Neodiprion lecontei: one gene and its partner. The protein of the gene in region 1 interacts with the protein of each later gene in a pairwise test. Links are inferred from orthologs where the notes say so. Each region holds a gene or a part of one and is shown on either strand. Other genes may lie near its edges. The genes, in order: GTPase Era, mitochondrial; trimethyllysine dioxygenase, mitochondrial.

What was found.
Region 2: the proteins of GTPase Era, mitochondrial (region 1) and trimethyllysine dioxygenase, mitochondrial interact in a two-hybrid assay, tested with the Drosophila melanogaster proteins (2 studies listed by BioGRID). The link is inferred for Neodiprion lecontei from reciprocal best matches to the Drosophila melanogaster genes CG7488 and Tmlh.

What each region holds. Positions count from the first base shown.
Region 1 is NC_060264.1:3,220,782-3,225,197, forward strand, and holds GTPase Era, mitochondrial, read left to right. Parts: upstream 1-2,008; 5' UTR 2,009-2,399; coding exon 2,400-2,636; intron 2,637-2,714; coding exon 2,715-3,149; intron 3,150-3,228; coding exon 3,229-3,588; 3' UTR 3,589-3,716; downstream 3,717-4,416. Other genes in the region: sulfotransferase 1C4, read right to left, coding at 3,768-4,079, 4,151-4,245.
Region 2 is NC_060262.1:1,985,709-1,992,245, forward strand, and holds trimethyllysine dioxygenase, mitochondrial, read left to right. Parts: upstream 1-2,268; 5' UTR 2,269-2,839; coding exon 2,840-2,852; intron 2,853-2,917; coding exon 2,918-3,008; intron 3,009-3,082; coding exon 3,083-3,198; intron 3,199-3,281; coding exon 3,282-3,496; intron 3,497-3,645; coding exon 3,646-3,863; intron 3,864-3,926; coding exon 3,927-4,151; intron 4,152-4,254; coding exon 4,255-4,528; 3' UTR 4,529-4,530; intron 4,531-5,072; exon of another isoform or gene 5,073-5,255; coding exon of another isoform or gene 5,256-5,561; 3' UTR 5,562-5,823; coding exon of another isoform or gene 5,824-5,945; 3' UTR 5,946-5,999; downstream 6,000-6,537. Other genes in the region: uncharacterized protein LOC107226935, read right to left, coding at 5,256-5,561, 5,839-5,945, 6,039-6,229, 6,330-6,537.

The DNA of each region.
Region 1 (4,416 bases):
AGCGCTATTCGGCGTCACCGATTCTTCTTACGTCATGCAAGAATTTTAGCAGCGAACGGAACGATTTCTGTACTGCTGGCACACGTTTCGCACGTGTGCGTGCCGTTTAACTTTTCTCAAGTCTCGGAAGCGCGACCATTATATCTTATGTCCAATGCCCACGTGCTGAAGGCAGGCATTCGTAAGTGCGTAATATGAAGTTATAAAATGTGAAAAAATGTCTCACAAAGGAGGACCGGATACAATTTTCACCAACAAAAAATCTTGGTTTTTGTATACCATAATTTTTTATACACTTGACAAGACGGCGTGCAAAATCGATGCCAAAGATGCACGAGACGCAAATTGAAAACCAGACGTGGACGTATGCGGAAATCGTAAATTCTCGAGTAAACATTGAAATTTGGAGACCTTGATAAGTCGCAGTCTCCGAAGACGGGCGCCTAGTCGTCGCCCCCGCATGCCACGCGACAATCAATACCTATCCGACAACATCGGATGCGCTGGAAATAATCGGCACCGCGGTCGGAAAAGGAGCTGATTCTTGAAGCGAGAAGCGGCTACTATCAGCAGCTTGCGAATTATCTATGATTCATTTCACGTGGTAGAGGAGAAATAATTTTTAAAAAATGGCGAGTAAATCGCGACACGAAACAATATCCTTTCATTGTTTACAACTGTTTCGATGATGCTATTATCGCACACTTGTTATAATCATTCGCGGGAGAATTTTTTGAGGTACATACATACATACATACATACCGAGGAATAACGTAAAAATATTACGTTCCACTAATGAGGGAGGATTTCTTTGATCGAAGAGCCTGTAACTTGATGAGAGATATCCCGCGGTGTGATTGATGCTGCGCAGAAATTTAAAAGATTTTTGCAAGCGACAAAAAACATGGTAACATAGCGTTGGTGACGAACCGCGAGACGCGCACGTTGACAGCACTAACAGCTGATCACAGGTCGCAATGGGGAGGGTGGGAGGGCAGGCTATACGCTGTCAAAATTAAAACGCATACATACTCCGATTCGACGTTTCGGATCGATAATGGATGTGAAGCGAGAGTCTTTGCGAACGCGGAATTGATCTGGATCGACAGAACTACGGACCAAGAGCTCGGTAACACGTTTTCGATAGACGGTCATCGCAATTCCAACGTACCGCGCAAGCCATAGCTTGGCGAAAAAATCAATTCCAAGAAGAGACGTGAAACTTTGTTCGCAAACCTCTGACAGCCGATCGGGGGCGCGGGGAGAGGCAGGGAGATAATTTTCTTTCAGGCCTTTTGCCCGGAGGTAATAAATCTCAACGGTTGCGATTTGGGAGTAAATTCGTGTGTATATAATCGCGAGAAAAATTAAAGAACCGTTTTGTTGTACATACGCAGACCACGGCCATTTTGATAGGACCCGTTGACGTCTGGCGATGAAAACGTTACGGATTATCGCATATATTCGACTAAAACTACCGCTAAATGTATGCTGTGTCAAACTGGCTGGTCAATACTCACAGTAATCACGACAATTCGGCGTCAGAACGCTTTCGAACTACTGAAAATCACTCGACAACCGGGATACACAAACGTTCAGAAGCTTTTCACGATCACTTCCACAGACCAGACTACTCGCAAGGTGGCGCGGGGCGCCTCAGGGCGCATGCGCCATCTTTCCTCTTACTCACCCCCAAAGTTAGAGCATATACTACCGGAGGGAGCTACCCATCCCATCGACCTCGGGAAAAATGCAGCTGAAGTGATGAGAATGTGAGACATACATCAGAACTACTCCGTCTCTCTCACTCGGCATTTTATTGGCTGAGAGGAAACGTATCGGCCAATCAGGTGTAGAGCAAAAGAGACAGATTGTAACTCACATGTACCTTTCTCTCTCACTCCTCCGATACACTATCTGACACGCGAAACTACCTCAGTAGTATATGATCCAAGCCCCCGAAGCGGACGAATTCCAGAAGCGTTTCCGCGTATCGCGCGCCATCTTCTCGTCGCCGTTTCAATCGATTCTTCGCAGATGTTTCTAAAGTACTGTTTTCAACAACTCCTTTCGGAAATACGATTAACGAATGCATTTGGTCATTAGACTCATTATGAAAGTACTATTGGATAAGATGTTTTTCGGTCCCGTAAATCTCTGCAAATACCTTTGTCCACTGATCTCTAGCGACTTGTCATTTGCACTGTTGATCGTCATTCACCAGTCATGCGTGCCGGTCCGACGGCAGCGACGTTGTAGGCACGTTACGTTCATACATACACGTACGAATAGCAAAACATGCTGAGATTTTTGGTGATTTGTGAGCTTTGTAATCCAATTTACACCGTTGCTTGGTCAGTATAAAGACTGTTATAAATACGTGACTCACCGAGATCCAAATGTTCTTGTTCCGGAGATGCTTGATTCGAGTTATAACGTCGAGTACACGGAGCACCCCTGTACAAGTAGCTAGGTTATACAGCGCCGAACGACTTGAGAAATATGATGCCCCGGTTTCAGCGGACGATGATTTCAGCAACGTACGTAGGGAAGAATTCAAATCTTTGAGAATCGCGATATTGGGGCTACCGAACGCGGGGAAGAGTACTCTTATCAACCAGCTAATCCATCATCAGGTACAAGGAAAGCGTTGAAATTGCATAAAAAGACCAATTAAATTTGTTGCTGTCGCTAACCTCTCCTCTGTAAACCAGGTATGTGCCTCGTCAATGAGGAAGCACACGACCCGTATGGCATGCCGTGCCGTCCTACACACAGACACCACAGAGTTGGTGTTTGTAGATACGCCTGGTGTCGTCACGACCCAAGAAGTCAAACGTCACAACTTGGAGAGTAGCTTCCAAAGTGACCCTGAAGTCGCCCTAAAACAGGTAGATGTTGTAGGTGTTCTCCACGATGTATCCAGATCCAGACTTAGACAAGAGATACTTCCAGAAGTACTAAACCTGTTGAAGACGTTGGATTCTGATACGCCAACTTTATTGTTAATGAACAAAGTTGATCAGATAAAGAATAAACGAAGGTTGTTAGAATTTGTTAATCACTTAACTGGTGAAAATGGATGGCAAAACTTTGCAGATATCTTTATGTTGTCTGCATTGAATGGGGACGGAGTGTCGGATTTAAGGGTAAGTAATTAATTATTAAAATCCTATGATTCCATAGATTATTTCATTCAACATTGATTAATTTCATGCTGGAAATTAGGAATACCTCCTTGTTTCGGCAAAACCTCGAGACTGGGACTACGAAAAAGATACTTTAACTGATCAAAAACCAGAAGAAATGATTATACGTATTGTACGTGCCAGCCTCCTAGATGTTCTTCCAGCAGAAATCCCATACAACCTCAACATTCAGATGGAATATTACAACGTTTGCGAGGATGGAAGCATCAATACTTTTGTTCTGATCGAATGTCCCACTGAGCGATTGTACAAGCTAATTCTTCGCAAACTGAAAAGCAAGTTGAGATATATGGCTGAAAAGGTAGAACAAACACTAAGTAAGAATCTTCAACAGACCGTCAGAGTAAGATTGGTTTTCCAGCCAAAAAGAGTAACTTAAGTATACAATTACATGATAGCATCAGCGTGTATATAGTAATAGCAAAGTATCAATTATTCTTTTATATCTCCTTGTACACTCCTTGGTAGTTCAATAAAGTCTACCAACTGCGTATGATTCGATTTCGATTTCGTGGCACCAATTTTTTCCTCTCCAACTGCTCATTGTACAATCGGCCGTTATATACTTATAATATTATTATTATTGAAATTCGGGAAAGTGAAATCCGTGTCCTTGAGATTTTTCGCTATCCACTCGTCCGCATCTGCCTCGAGCTCGGGTGTAAATGTATCTATCCATCCTCCAGTCTGTCCTTTCCGTATGAAACTCGTATTTGCTATAACGCCGCACTCTTTCAATTCTGTCCCGTTTACGGTTGAAATTTGCCGAAAACTATTGAAGTCCAAGTAATCAACCAGATTGAATATCTGTTCCCTCGTCAGGCTTTTGTGCAAGAATTTGGCAACCTTCACAATGGTTCCGGGTAAATCCTACAACGGTGAAATCGTAGTTAATCATCCGTATATGTGGATGTGGAGCACTGCTCAATTATGAAACATACCATGTTCATATCCTCGTAAAAAAGGAAAAGCAAATTCGGGTGTGTCCTCAATGCCCAAGCTTCCTTCAAATGTTCCCAGTACGGTGACCACGTTGCTAAAAAGTGAAAGTCAACGGTAAAAGCTTAATGACTTGGCAGTTTTTTCTTGGAGTTCCTGGAGAATTTTCCGAAACGCAAAGAAAGTGATTGACGACTGTGAGAAAGTGTCAAACTTTTAATGCATACAAATCACAACACCATGACGTGCTTAACGCCCGAGCTAACGG
Region 2 (6,537 bases), on another chromosome or scaffold:
GATTATTTAATACGTAAAAAAATATCTTATCAGGCAATGCTCGCACAGTTTCATGACCTCTTTATCGTCTCGATTTCAAGGGGACGGAGGTCACAGATCAAAATACCAAATTTCTTGGCTGGTGAAGAATGCTAGATTTTTGGGCGACAACCAAGAGCAAAAAATCACCCCTGTTCCTTGGTTCAAGCTCCCGGATGTTGCAAGGGTGGAATTGAATTCCTACATGAACACGGACGCAGGTTTATCCGAGGTTCTTTCATCCCTGCTGCGATATGGAGTAGCGTTTGTCACTCATGTGAGTATGGGGTTCGGAAAAAGCCAAGTATTTGTAATTTACGAGAACAATATATTGCGTTACAAGGGCCGAAATTTGGCGGTTGCGACGAGTGTGAAATCACGCACACACGGTAGTTTTTATGACAAGCGAATGAAAAGCAGTGGGCCTTACTTGGCAGTGTCGCGGGACGTGATTGGTCAATTTTTTCTCCCTAGGGGCGAAAGTGAGTCAACTGTGGGCTGCGCGTGCGCAAACCCATATCTACAGCACAGATGAAATTGGCTACTTGTTCGTCTCGCTAAATTGCTACGCAGAGTCCCGCACTTTTCATGCACGTGTGATAAAAATGTAATTTAACCCCATGTTGCGTTTTTCAGGTGGATGCCACCATAGCCGCGACGGAAAAAGTGATAACCAGAATGGCGCCAGTTCAGAAGACTTTTTACGGCGAAATGTTTGAAATTCACAACGGCGAGTTCGAAGACGACAGTGACGTCACTCCGAAACTTGATACTGCACTGCCATTGGATGCCGCCTTCTCGAACAACTATCTTGATGCTCATACGGATAATACGTCCTGGTCCGACGCTGCAGGGTAAAGAGTACACAGATATATGGTTTTAGGGTTGAAAAACCAAATACATTTAGGTTTACTCGAATGTCCTGTCGTTTTGCGATTGAGATGTAGGGAAATGCCATTCATACATACAGCCTACATCATCCGGAAATTGAGAATCAGAAAACACGCCCGTTACGAAATTTCCAGAAATGTTATTTACTCTAATGATAGTCAACGCGAATGAAACAATACTTTTATTATTTAATCGAAATGAATCTGCGTCAATTAAAATAACACAGGCTATGGTATCAACAATTTGAGCAAATTAGGCTTTATAATTACAGTGTGCAAGGTGGTTGAACTTTGTTGGTTGTTTAACCGATTCCAATGTTTTGGGGTCATTTGTCGAAAATTACCTGAGAAAAATTCGAGAAATCTTATATTGCAGTACGATCAGTTATACATGCACAAATGAAATTATCTCATCCACTCTGGTGATGATTACTTGTAAAACGTTTTTCCGGTAATCTCTACAGGTCTCTACGGTTAAAATAAAATAAGCTCGGTAACATTCGAATCTAATAAAAGACGCCAAAGTCGAATCATTTTGAACGTTTCGGCTATGAAACCTTTTCTCCAATTGCTAATACCTTACATCTATTGTGTTATTAAAATTCGTATAAATTCATGATTTTATAGTAAGAATGTAGCTGCATTCGTTTTTACTATCTTTCGTGCAAATAACACGCCTGATAAGTTTTTAAACGCTATTTTTCTTCTCCTGCAACATTTGACCGCAGTACATGCAGACGGTTCGAATGATTCACCCTTAAAAAATTCAGGCTACAAGTGTTCCACTGCCTGAAACCGGCGACAAAAGGAGGAGAGACGATCCTGGTGGATGGTTTGAACGTTAGTATGCTGATAAAACAGCAGTCTCCGGAATCTTACGAGAGATTGACTCGGATGCCAATCTCCGCAACTTACATCGATCCGGGTCAGCATCACACTCACGTGGATCCGCTTCTGAAGCTCCACCCTGTCACTAAGGAGCTTTTGCAGATCAGGTTAACTTTGTTCACAGTTTGTACCGTTTCGTATTGTCACGATAAAAGTCTGTCAAATGAAGTAATTCGCATCCGCCGTTTTCGACCACAGGTTTCAACTCTACGATCGTACTGTGCTAAGGACTCTTCCTTACGATCATATCCAGCAACATTACCACGATCTTCGCCTCCTCGCTTCCGTCATAGCCGACAAAAGTGGCGAAACCCTGGTAAAACTTGTACCTGGGGAAGTAGTCTTTATAGACAATTGGAGGGTGTTGCATGGCAGGACTGCGTACTCAGGTTCCAGACTTCTTACTGGCGGTTACGTGGCTCGCACCGACTGGCGAAGCAGAGCCACAGTCATGGGCCTGATAGATTATTAACTATAATTTCGAATTAATAAATAAACAACAGGCCGTGAACCTATATTAGGATCAAGAAATGAGTGGAGGATAGTTCATTAATTCAAGTTTTTATTGTAATAACGCAGACCGAATATGTATTTTTTTAATGTTAAAAGTTAAAAATAAGTAAAATATGATAATAGCATATCTTAAATAATGAATTTCGTATGAATTAACGGTAGCTGGATTTTGTGATTTGAAATTCTATCACAGCTAAAACTCTCTTTCGCTGTTTCCCTATCTTCTGTGGACATATTATTCAAAATCATGTCCGAGCAAACTATATGCATTTTAATCTTTGTACTGTTTGCAATATAATTATTAGCATTACGATACAAAGTTTTATTGATATTCTACACGCTTTGATAACCCCGCCCATGTGTGTCAGTTACACTTCCGATAAGCAGAGTTATACTTTTAGAGGGTCGCTGTCCATTCTAATCATTTCCAACTGTCACTTCGTCGTGTTGCCTTGAGAAGACCATAGATCAACGTTTCTTTACACGCTTGGTGTGTGTGTGTGTGTTGATCATTTGTGACATCTGCGTCAATGGAAAAAGCAGGTAAACTTATCAAATACTTCGTTACTATACGCTGTGATACTGTACGAAATACTTCAATGCTTCAGAGATTTCCCTATTGAAGGATGGATTTCAACTCGAAATCCCGAATGCAGAGCCAATCACAATTTTCCACCAGTGGCTGCGCGATCATTGCAGGTATGAATAAGTGGAATTAGCCAATGAAATCGGACCGATTTACGCATAATAACGATTCTCTGGAACATTTCCAGATGTGCCGAATGCTACAATGATACAACGAATCAGCGCAAGCTCAGTATTCTCGATTTTCCCCCGGATGTATTTCCTCGTGAATACAATCTCTCTGACGGAGTGCTCGACGTCATTTGTAAGATTATTTAATGCGTAAAAAAATATCTATCAGGCAATGCTCGCACAGTTTCATGACCGTCATATCGTCTCGATTTCAAGGGGACGGAGGTCACAGATCAAAATACCAAATTTCTTGGCTGGTGAAGAATGCTAGATTTTTGGGCGACAACCAAGAGCGAAAAATTACCCCTGTTCCTTGGTTCAAGCTCCCGGATGTTGCAAGGGTGGAATTGAATTCCTACATGAACACGGACGCAGGTTTATCCGAGGTTCTTTCGTCCCTGCTGAGATATGGAGTGGCGTTTGTCACCGGTGTGAGTACAACAATCATTACATTATGCTACATGAAGGGTATGAAGCTTTAGGTTTTTAATACCGATGTTACCGTAATAGAAACACTTCACAAAAATGACCATCCGTTTCATTATCTTCTGTGAATGACGAGGCTGAACGCTTTTTTCAGGTAGAAGCTACTCTCGCCGTTACCGAAAAATTGATAACCAGAATGGCGCCTGTACAAAAAACTTTTTTCGGCGAAATGTGGGAAGTTCATAACGAGGAAATTGCCGATGCCAGTGAAGTCGCATCGGAGACCGACATAAAGCCGCACTATGACACTGCATACACAAGCATCGCCCTTGGTGCTCATACAGACAATACTTACTGGTGCGACGCTGCAGGGTAAGTAAGAGGTGTTTTGAAATTTTTTAAACATCCCACAGACAACGAGCTTTCAAATTTCAGCCTGCAAGTTTTTCATGGTCTGGAGCCTGCGAGAATCGGAGGAGAAACGCTCCTCGTAGATGGCCTGAACGTTAGTATGCAGCTGAAACAGAGGTATCCGGAATCTTACGAGAGACTGACGCGGATGCCGGTTTCTGCGACCTATGTGGAAGAAGGTCAGCACCATACGCACGTGGATCCGATCCTGAAACTCCACCCCGTCACTAGGGAGCTTTTGCAAATCAGGTTGGCTGGTCTCTTAGAATTTTCCATTCTTGTATCGAGAGGGAGCAGCGAAATGAAGTAAAAATAAATCAAATTAAATAAAAATATCAAATCCCTATCACAGATTTAATCTCTACGATCGTTCTGTGCTGAGAACTCTTCCTCGTGATCAGATACAGCAACACTATAACGATCTGCGCCTCATAGCTGCTATTGTGGCCGACAAAGAGGGGGAAACCCGCGTGAAACTTTCGCCTGGAGAAGTAATTTTCATTGACAACTGGAGAGTAATGCATGGCCGGACCGCGTATTCTGGTTCCAGACTACTTGCTGGTGGTTACGTGTCACGTACCGATTGGCGAAGTAGAGCTGCAGTCATGGGTCTGCTTGATAATTGAAGGTATGCACGAGTGTGTATGATCAATTAATTTTCAACAGATGAGCAAGCGAATTAACTGAGAAATCAGCCCACTACGTAATGATACGACAAATTTTTTCTATTAATTTTTATCCAATGTCCAACGGAAATATAACGTGTGTGGTAGAAAAGAAAGACTTATTAGGATTAATCGTAACATACTTATCGATACATTGTCAAATTTATCCTTAGTACTTGCTATCGGTAGTATGTTCGAAAACGTTGGGTCTCGCATAGGTAATTCTAGAATGATCTTGAGTATCGAAAATTTTTATAATATGTTTCGATACATCGCGCCGAACGACGTTTGCAAAATTTTTCTACCGTATGTAATAATATAGTCTCTAATTTTCAATGTCTGTGAAAAAATTACAAGAAATTATACAATTGGGAAACAAATCAGAACAGTTATTATACATGGCATCACGCTTTGGAAACTTCTCTTATTCAGTGAAGCTTGTCGTGCTTGGCTAATCTGTAACTCGTAAAAGAAAAGGTGCAAACGCAAACGATTACGAACGGTATTAACGAAGCTTAAAGTCGTTCAAAACTCAGTTTTATTTTCATACTTATTGTTAGTTAATCGAAATACCGTAAAATTAACGTAAACACTATTCACGAAGTCTACCGGTTTTACCGAGAAATTTGCTAGACTCAATTTTCACGTCCCTTAAAATCCTCACTTCACAATATTTGAGATCTCGACATCAGACTTTTTTTTTCTTTCCAGATGATGGCAAGAGTCTGTCCTCAACGATCTCTGGCAAATTGTCTTCTAGGGAAGGTTCGAACCTTGTTGATGTAGAGGTAGACGCTTTTGCCCGACGACCATTAATGCCAGTAGTAGAATTCAATTCCATATTTGTTCTTACGGTAATATCAGGCATCGCTAAATCTCCGTCAGTTTTTTCACAAGTCAATGGCTGAACAGAATTCTCCTCGTCGTTGTGTCGGTTTTCCATTCTGTCAATCCTGGGTGGCTTTTGATGAAGACTGTTTGTACCTTCCAGGTCCTTAAAAACCACAACATTTACATGTACCTCATAATAATTAGTCCTTTCATATTTTTGAATTTTTTTATATCTGAAGAATTTTTGCTTTGCTTCAGCAAAAAGCTAATTTTAAATGAAGTAGATCAAATTTTGCCAGATTTAACGAATACTGTTTATTTTATTCTATATTTATATCCAGTAGTGGTTAAACAGCACATAAGGATAATGGAAAAAAAAATTGAAACGGAACTTGTTTCCCTGCATCATTTAACATTTTGCAATATTACAACACCCATACGTCTTGAATATTTTTGGGAACCAATCCCAAACTGTCTAACATTCCAGTCGCCTCGGAATCCTCGGTAGGGTAAGCTGATATCCTTTTACATTTGATCAAATGCGTCGCTGCAAAAGAACCGAAAGATGTTATCAGAATATAAAATTGGATATAAAAAATGATCTCAAACCAGTAGTAAATGAATGAATATACGTTAATACCTAATTGGTTTCCATCAACCGACGAAAAACCGCAAGGACACTGCATTTTATTTTCCAAGGGTATGTTCAGCAGTGGTGAAAGTACTGCTAAGCCGGTCAGTGGTCTAGCATTGTGAAACTGTTGCTGATGTTCCTTGAAAGCTCGCCAACAGCACGTCGAGTATTTGCAGTGCAAGCATTTCTGTTCACCGCTGTAAATTATTAAGTATTACACCATACGGTCATATAACAATCGAAGCAATCATTGTACGAAATTAGTTCTACGACCAAAAAACCGACGGGTAATCTTACGGGTAATGTTCAAGCTCATCTATGTCCTCCTCGCACTCCTGACAAGCCAACTTAGGTGGAGCAAGAATTCTAATCGGTCCTTCGGACCATGTCTTCACGTTCTCAGTGTTGGGTAATTCCTGTATAGGACTATCTATTTCGATACGTTTCACTGGGTTACGTGGTCTCGGTATCATTATACCGTTTTCAGTTGCGATGTACGGAATAA